Linked DNA regions of Nothobranchius furzeri. The protein of the gene in region 2 interacts with the protein of the main gene of each other region in a pairwise test. Links are inferred from orthologs where the notes say so. Each region holds a gene or a part of one and is shown on either strand. Other genes may lie near its edges.

Region 1 (4,215 bases), on a different chromosome or scaffold from region 2:
GAAGAAAATTCTGTATTAATCTAAACTAAAATGGTAATCAGATAGTTAACAGTTTAAGTGAAATTATACAAAAAAGTTTTATTGCTGATATTTTTACAATGTGTGAATAAAGATTATACTCACCAGTAAATTTTAAAAATTCATGCTTCAAAATGAAAAATAAAAAATCTATAGAGATTAAACATGAAAAGCAATAAAGATCATAAAATAGGCAAACAAGAAAAAGCTCAAGAAAAGTTAGGGGACAGTCAGAGGCTTACTGAGAGAGATCTGAGTCTGAGTAATGGCAGATTCATGATGGAGGACTGCTTAAGACGGTGTGGGGGAGAGAAAAATTAATCATTACACTAACTGTAAATATGTAACAGAAGCTGCACATAAAAGTCAGCAAATTATTTTCTGTTTGAACACCATAAACACATGATAGTGACATTAAAATCATACAAGCACAGTGAAGACACAACTGCATTGAAGTCATATATATGCATAAAATAAAAACAATTCCCATCTGACCCATGGGTGGTGCCATCTTTCCAAGCTCGAGTCCTCGATACCAGAGAGAGATATATCTTAGTTGTTCCTAGAACTGCACTTTTCTGGACTGAGATGTCTGATATTTTTCCTGGGATCTGCTTTAGCCACTCCTCCAGTTTGGGGGTTACTTCTCGAGTGCCCCGATGACCACGGGCACCATATCTTCACTCACCAGGCTTTATCAAGCTCTTCTTTGAGGCCCTGGTACTTCTCTAGTTTCTCGTGTTCCTTTTGCCTGATGTTGCCATCACTTGGTATTGCCACATCAACCACAACAGCTGTCCTCTGTTGGTTGTCTACGTTCCTTTTATTTGTATATATATATATATATATATATATATATATATATATATATATATATATATATATATATATATATATATATATATATATACATATACACATATATATATATATATATACATACATATACACATACACACACACACACACACACACATATATATATATATATATATATATATATATATATATATATATATATATATACATACATATATACACATATATATACATAAATATAATATATTTTTATATATACATGTGTGTGTGTGTGTGTGTGTGTGTGTGTGTTTAGTAAATTGTAGCTCATAAATCATTTTCAGAGTTTAAAAAAAATCGCTTTTTTGTTCATATCTATTTTTGACATGTTTGGCTTTCCGTACAGTGGAAGTGGCGTAAACTGATGTGTGAGTATCTATTCGACTAGCACCGCCTTCATGTGTGTTAACATTGACAAATATAGTCTTTAAAGCATTGATAATTCATGTTTTGTGTCCTTACATGTAAGATACAGACATGATCAGTGGTCTAAGGCACGGAAAGCATGTGAGAGCGTTTTAATCGGAGCCTAGGCTAGTTCGTTAGCAGCATTGATGCTAATTTTAGCTTCTAGCATCATCAAGGCATCTGATGAGTAGGAACAAACAGGCTTCTTCTCTGGAAAACGCCAGTGTTTGTTGTCATGGTGAATTATCCTGAAAGCTAGTGAAATATGTCATATTTAATGTTAACCAGGGCTGAAGACATTAAACGAGCACATAACTAGTTTGGTTGTCGAGTTCCACACTTAGCCTTTAGCTGTAAATTGGAACTACTGTGTCAGGATGAATTGTATTTGTGAACTTACCTTTGTTGTTTCAGCTAATAATGGCCGAACTAAATACTCTAGAGAGCCTGCTGGAGATGGGCTTTGACAAAAACAGAGCGTGAGTTACACTCATCATAGACATTTGGGTTTTTGAATCAGAGCTACAAAGAAATTAAAGTTAAACTGGGTTTTTTTGTGTGTCTTTTTTCTCACATTTTCAGAGAAAAAGCTGTGGCCAATACAGGAAACCAGGGAATAGAACAAGCTATGGACTGGTGCGTCTGACATACAAACTAAAAGCTGTGCTGTAATCCAGTCAGTTTGCTGTCTGTGGCAACATTTATGTATTTTACTTTAGTGATTATTGGTAAGAGGTACTCCATTTATACCACCTTGATTCAGCCAAGGTGAGGTGATACTCAGTTCTGACAGATTCCTCACCTGTAGATGCATCTTTTGAGGAGCTCTGAAGCCAAATAAAGGCTCTTAGTAGGAACTGTTTTGCAAAAATGTTCTCATAATGTTACATTTCTAAGCGTTGAATGCAAAACACCGAAGGAAGAAATTGTGCATTAGAACAAACCATTTTCCACCCTGACCCAATCTCTATGACCTCCTTCCTCCAGGTTGATGGAGCATGAGAATGACCCAGATATCGATGAGCCCTATGTGCCTCCTGCTGAGAATGTTCTGGGAGGAACAACAGATAGTCAGTCCAGCATAGAGCAGCCAACTATCGAAGGTCAGGGCATGTTGGGATGTTTGGGGAATGAATGATGCCATAATATTGTGAACAAAGCACACCAGACAACATTTAAGTAGCTAGTAGAAATACGTTTACAAATAAACTATTAATGTGATGAAATTGGAGCCTTTCTAGACTGAAAGTGAACATTGTGTCATTACTCAACTGAAACAATGTCCTGCTAATATAGGAACAGAAAACTTAAGTGAAGAATTCCTCGACCCTGAGGACATAGAGGCTTTAAAGCGACCAATGACAGAAGAGGAGAGACGCGAACAAGTCAAAAGGTCTGGGCGCATTCATTTCTACTGATGGTAATGAGTTTGTCTATTTATCCACAAAAAGCAGCATGAAGTCATTGTTTATGCCCATGTTTCTGCTTCTCAGGCTAGAGGAGCTGATGCGGGTGAAACAGGCAGAGAGGAGAGAACGTGAGCGAGCAGAGGAGGTGGAGAAAGAGAAACAGCGACGGAAACAGGGCCAAGAGCTGCAGCAGATCCGCCAAAAACTGCAGGATGACGACATGAAAAAACTTGCTGATCAGAGGAGGAGAGAGAAGATGGAAGACAAACTTGCTAGGTAAGGGTTCAGTAATGCAGATAATCGATGAAGAAAGTTTAGTTTGGTGCTTTTAAGTAATTGTTTTTTTTTTTGTTTGTTTGTTTTTTACAAAAGCTATATTGATATTTTTCTTGAAACTTGAGGAAATTGGTTTCTGTTTTGAACCCTGTTCATCTTTATGTTTGTCAGGCAAAGAGTTAAAGAGAAAATAGCGAGAGACAGAGAGGAGCGTGCACAGAAGGTACCTTAGCCTGAAATCCTGTTCATGTCTTTAATTTCTTACTGATGGCTTTAATCCTGGTCACGTTTTTATTTCCAATGGTTTAGTTTGGAGGTGGTGCATCTTCAAGCACGGCTGCTTCAACACAGCCCACCCCACCCAGCCCATCATCGCCCACCAGTCAGGGCCCTCCTCCCACTAAGAAGGAGTATGATGAATCAAGGATACAGGTGAGGAAAAAACTGACAGCTTGATTTATTCTCTTGAGTTTCTCTGATCCACTGGCCACTTTTCCTCCACACTTCCTAAATGTTCTGATCCATTCTCAGGTTCGCCTGCTGGACGGCTCCACAATCACAGCCGTGTTTAAGGCTCAGGAGCCACTGGCGGCGGTGCGGGTCTACGTACAGATGAACGGCAACACACCCGAGGGTCAGGACTTCACGCTGCTGTCACCCTACCCCCGCCACATCTACACTGAAATGGACATGGAGAAGCCCCTCAAAGAGCTGGGTGAGTGGGAGACTAGTCTAAGTCCAGAACAAGTCTGTTCATCTTACCCTTTTTTTGTCTCAGGTTTGGTGCCTTCAGCCGTGCTGGTTGTTACCAAAAAGTAAGAAACGAGAGGATCTGCTCTGTGAGCCTACCTCACCACTTCCACTACGTCATGTCCAGACACCGGAAACCAACTGAACCAGAACCAGAGCTGCCATCCCATAGTGTTACACAAGGAGCCATCGAAGTGAGCTAAAGCACAGATGCTGTGAGGCTGCATTCAGACACGAGTGACTGGATTCAGTCTCCCGCTGCAGTTTGACTCACATATCGAGTTGGATCTTAACAGATCAGAGAGAAGAAAGCTGGGTTCTGGCTGACACTTATTCTAAACGTTTAGGGTAAAGTACGGATCTAGGTTGTTTGTTTTTACCAGATTCTTAATGACATCATCTCAAAGTTCTTATAAAGGGCCTTAAGTTTAATTGCCATGATCTTCCTAATTTTGTGACATTCTATTTTTCAATTTTTTTAAAAAGACGTTCAGCT
Region 2 (3,513 bases):
GGTCCAGAGTCCGGGGACCACAGCAGCAAGTGGTTGGTTTTATTGCCTGTTTTCATCCAGGGAATCGCGACGGGCAGACACGTCTGATCAAAGATGGTCAGAAGGTGGAGGCGTATCAATGGAGCGTCAGCGACGATCGCTGGATGAAAATCGGAGATGTAGTCGGAGGCTCAAACCAGCAGACCTCCAAGAGCGTGATGTACGAAGGAAAGGTGAGGCGACAAGCTCAGAGCTAATAAACAGAGCAGTGTGAGAGGGCTTTCGCTAATGGGTGTTCCATCTGCTCTAAGGAATACGATTACGTCTTCTCTATCGATGTGAACGAAGGGGGGCCGTCTTTGAAGCTACCTTACAATGTGTCTGACGACCCCTGGCTGACAGCGCACAACTTCCTACAGAAGAACGATCTGAGCCCCATGTTTCTTGACCAAGTTGCTAATTTTATCATCGAGAACACTAAAGGACACGTGGTGGGTCCAGCCCAGCCTGGTGGCGGCGACCCCTTCACAGGTGAGGGGACTCGTCCTGTTGACTGATAAACAGGTTTATTATTTTTATTACAGAATTTGATCGTCCTGTCTGGTTTGAATCGTACCCAACAGGATGATCATTCAATATATCTTGGCTCGGACAATCTTCTGCTGTTCACTGTCTTGCCACAGGAGTGCCCCAGGGCTCTGTAATGGGACCTCTACTCTTTGCCATGTACACCACCTCACTGGGTGAGATCATTCGATCACATGGCTTCTCCTACCACTGCTATGCCGACGACACCCAGCTCTATCTGTCATTCCCGCCAGATGACCGCACAGTTTCTGCACAAATCTCAGACTGTCTTTCTGACATATCAAGATGGAGGAAATCCCACCATCTCCATCTCAACTTCTCAAAAACTGAATTACTTGTCATCCCAGCGAAACCATCCATACATCACAATATCTCAATCAAAAATGATTCCCTATCTCTGGCCCCTTCAAAGGCTGTTCGAAACTTGGGTGTTGTGATTGATGACCAGCTGACCTTTAAAGATCACGTTGCCTCTGTCGCTTGTTCATGCCGCTTCACGCTGTATACATAGGCGTCATTTTAAAAAATTTGTGATTGGCAGCTGTGTCCCCCCCCACTTTAAAAAAAGCCTGCTGATGAGGATTTTTGTTTTACCAGCTCAGATCTTTTACCAGGGGTCGGCAACCTGTTCCCATCAAAGAGCCATTATTACCCGTTTCCCACAGTAAAGAAAACACCGCAGCAGCCGCAGCGTTGTGGGCGGGGCCTACCCTCAGACAGCAGAGAGCTGCCCACAACCAGGTGACAGCAGCCAGTACCGTCGCTCGCATGGGCGTCGCACCCGTGGGGGATTCAACACCCACACTTTTCCTTCTGTTTTGCTCACCTCCACTCCAGTCTGGTTTCTTTATGTCGCACTCACTCTGTTTGCCTCATCTCCTTAATCACCTCCACTTCTGACAGCCGATGTCGGGTTTCCAGGAGAGCAGGAGATGGAGGGACGGAAGAGCTCGACTGAATTCATAATTTTACATCTTGACATTAGCTGTACAAAGTCTGAGTTTGAGAAAGTTAAGAACAACAATTTGCAGAGGTTTATAACTGGCGCGGCGCCAGGTTTTCATTTTTGGGTGGGCCACGGTAATTCTGGACGGACCTTAATAAGCAGTGACTTATGTGAAGCAGGCAGGACGCGCTAGAAAATTTCGTTTAAAAAGACGTCAAATGTGTTCCCCCGTCATTTTTATTTCTAAAATATGAAGTAAAAACTCCCAGTTTAATTTTCATTCATTTGACATTAATATGTAGTCTACACCCGTGCGTTAAGTGGACCATCTTCCAGTGAAATCAAAGCTTCCAGCCCACCTCTCCAAATGCGTAAAATGTGCATCAGCCGCTAGTTAGGCGCGTCACGCGCACCATCAGCGACGTCAGCCCAGACAAGAGCAGAGCAAATAGAGAAAGAATAGAGGATAATTGTGTCTGGATGTGGATGGAGATTACATTTTACAGCAGCCTGATCATCATTTAAATACGTAAACCATCACCTATCTTCTAGTCCACGCTATCAGCATTATTTTAATTGGTGTGTGTGTGTGTGTGTGTTTTCCACTTCAAACACTGGTCTAACCAACCAGACCAGCGTGTCCAGTAACACATTAATGTTACACTTCATGTAGGCTAGGAACATTTCACCTGCCGTGGCCCGACCGCTTCTGCTCCACATAAACTTTGTGCGTGATCAAATGTCTCTACAGGAGCTTTCTGAGCTGAAGAGCTATTCTGCCTCAGACTGGATGCGTCATGCATCTCCATATTAGAGACGGGAACAAGCGCTGTTCAGCCAAAGTTTCATCATTTCATAAAAAGAACATTTTTCCAAGTGACACATCCCTCAGAGAGACCGGGTTTCCAGACCGCTTCAGTGGGAGGAAATCTTATCGCATGCGCGTGGTTCTGTACTGCGCTGCGAACCCCTCAGATTTCAGCCCACTGTCCTCCGTGGGCACTCCGAGCCGCGCTGAACACAGTGTCCAGTATAAAGCTCTGATGTTCTGATGGGAATCAAGTTACCTCTGCGATGTGCGCAACGATTAAAATGTCAGCTCATCCATGCGCATCAGTGTGCGTTGGGGTAATTCTTTCAAAACAACCAACATCCTTGAGTTTATCCGTCAATATGTGGCAAGGTGGAGAAATGAGGGCCCGGGCGGGATTCGATCCCCAGACTCCCGGGTGACAGTCATACGCTCTAACCAGTCAGCCAAAGGGACAACCCCTTGGCCAAGTAGCCAGGGCGCATTATCTATCGGGACATTGTGACAGGACACACACTGCCACACCTGATTATGAAACTTTGGCTGAATAGTGCTTGTTCCTGTCTCCAATGTGGCGACGCATCCAGGAACCTGTCTGAGGAGAATCCCAGAATCTGACATCCTCAAGCTCAGGAAGCGCCTATGATTATGCACAAGCGTGAGGCGTCAACCTGGTCTCACAGTAAGACCGGGTTGGACCTGTTCAGGTTTACGCAGACAATCTTTATATTTAGAATTGGCATACAGATGTAAAATTAATCCAGTAAAATATAAAGCTTTTCATTTAAATATCCATTCATTATTTTACAAGCACAGAGAGCCGCATCAGATGGATGGAAGAGCCGCATGCGGCTCCAGAGCCGCCGACCCCTGTGCTAGCCTACTTTATTGTCCCCAGCAATTTTTAAACCCCACTCAAGTGTATGGTTATTGTCCCCAGCAATCCTGAAAACAAACTTGACGCCCTTGGCTGTATAACATACGAAAGATCAGATCGTACCTTACACAGTATGCTACCCAGGCCCTGGTGCAATCTACTGTCATCTCCCGCCTCGACTACTGCAATGCCCTTCTAACTGATCTTCCAGTCTGTACTGTGAGACCTCTTCAAATGGTCCAGAATGCAGCAGCGTGTCTGGTCTTCAATCAGCCAAAAAGAGCATTCGTCACCCCTCTGTTCATTGAGTTC

What was found. The genes of interacting proteins can lie anywhere in the genome.
Region 1: the proteins of plaa (region 2) and ubxn1 interact in binary tests that used the Homo sapiens proteins (3 or more experiments, as listed by UniProt). The two-hybrid records come from large-scale screens. The link is inferred for Nothobranchius furzeri from reciprocal best matches to the Homo sapiens genes PLAA and UBXN1.

The regions. Positions count from the first base shown.
Region 1 is NC_091741.1:88,740,687-88,744,901, reverse strand, and holds the start of ubxn1 (UBX domain-containing protein 1), read left to right. Parts: upstream 1-1,410; 5' UTR 1,411-1,519; coding exon 1,520-1,522; intron 1,523-1,698; coding exon 1,699-1,763; intron 1,764-1,866; coding exon 1,867-1,920; intron 1,921-2,271; coding exon 2,272-2,387; intron 2,388-2,580; coding exon 2,581-2,677; intron 2,678-2,777; coding exon 2,778-2,969; intron 2,970-3,140; coding exon 3,141-3,192; intron 3,193-3,278; coding exon 3,279-3,401; intron 3,402-3,500; coding exon 3,501-3,684; intron 3,685-3,747; coding exon 3,748-3,788; 3' UTR 3,789-4,215.
Region 2 is NC_091742.1:72,989,725-72,993,237, forward strand, and holds part of plaa (phospholipase A-2-activating protein), read left to right. Parts: intron 1-60; coding exon 61-212; intron 213-290; coding exon 291-510; intron 511-3,513. UniProt on the Homo sapiens protein: Plays a role in protein ubiquitination, sorting and degradation through its association with VCP. Involved in ubiquitin-mediated membrane proteins trafficking to late endosomes in an ESCRT-dependent manner, and hence plays a role in synaptic vesicle recycling.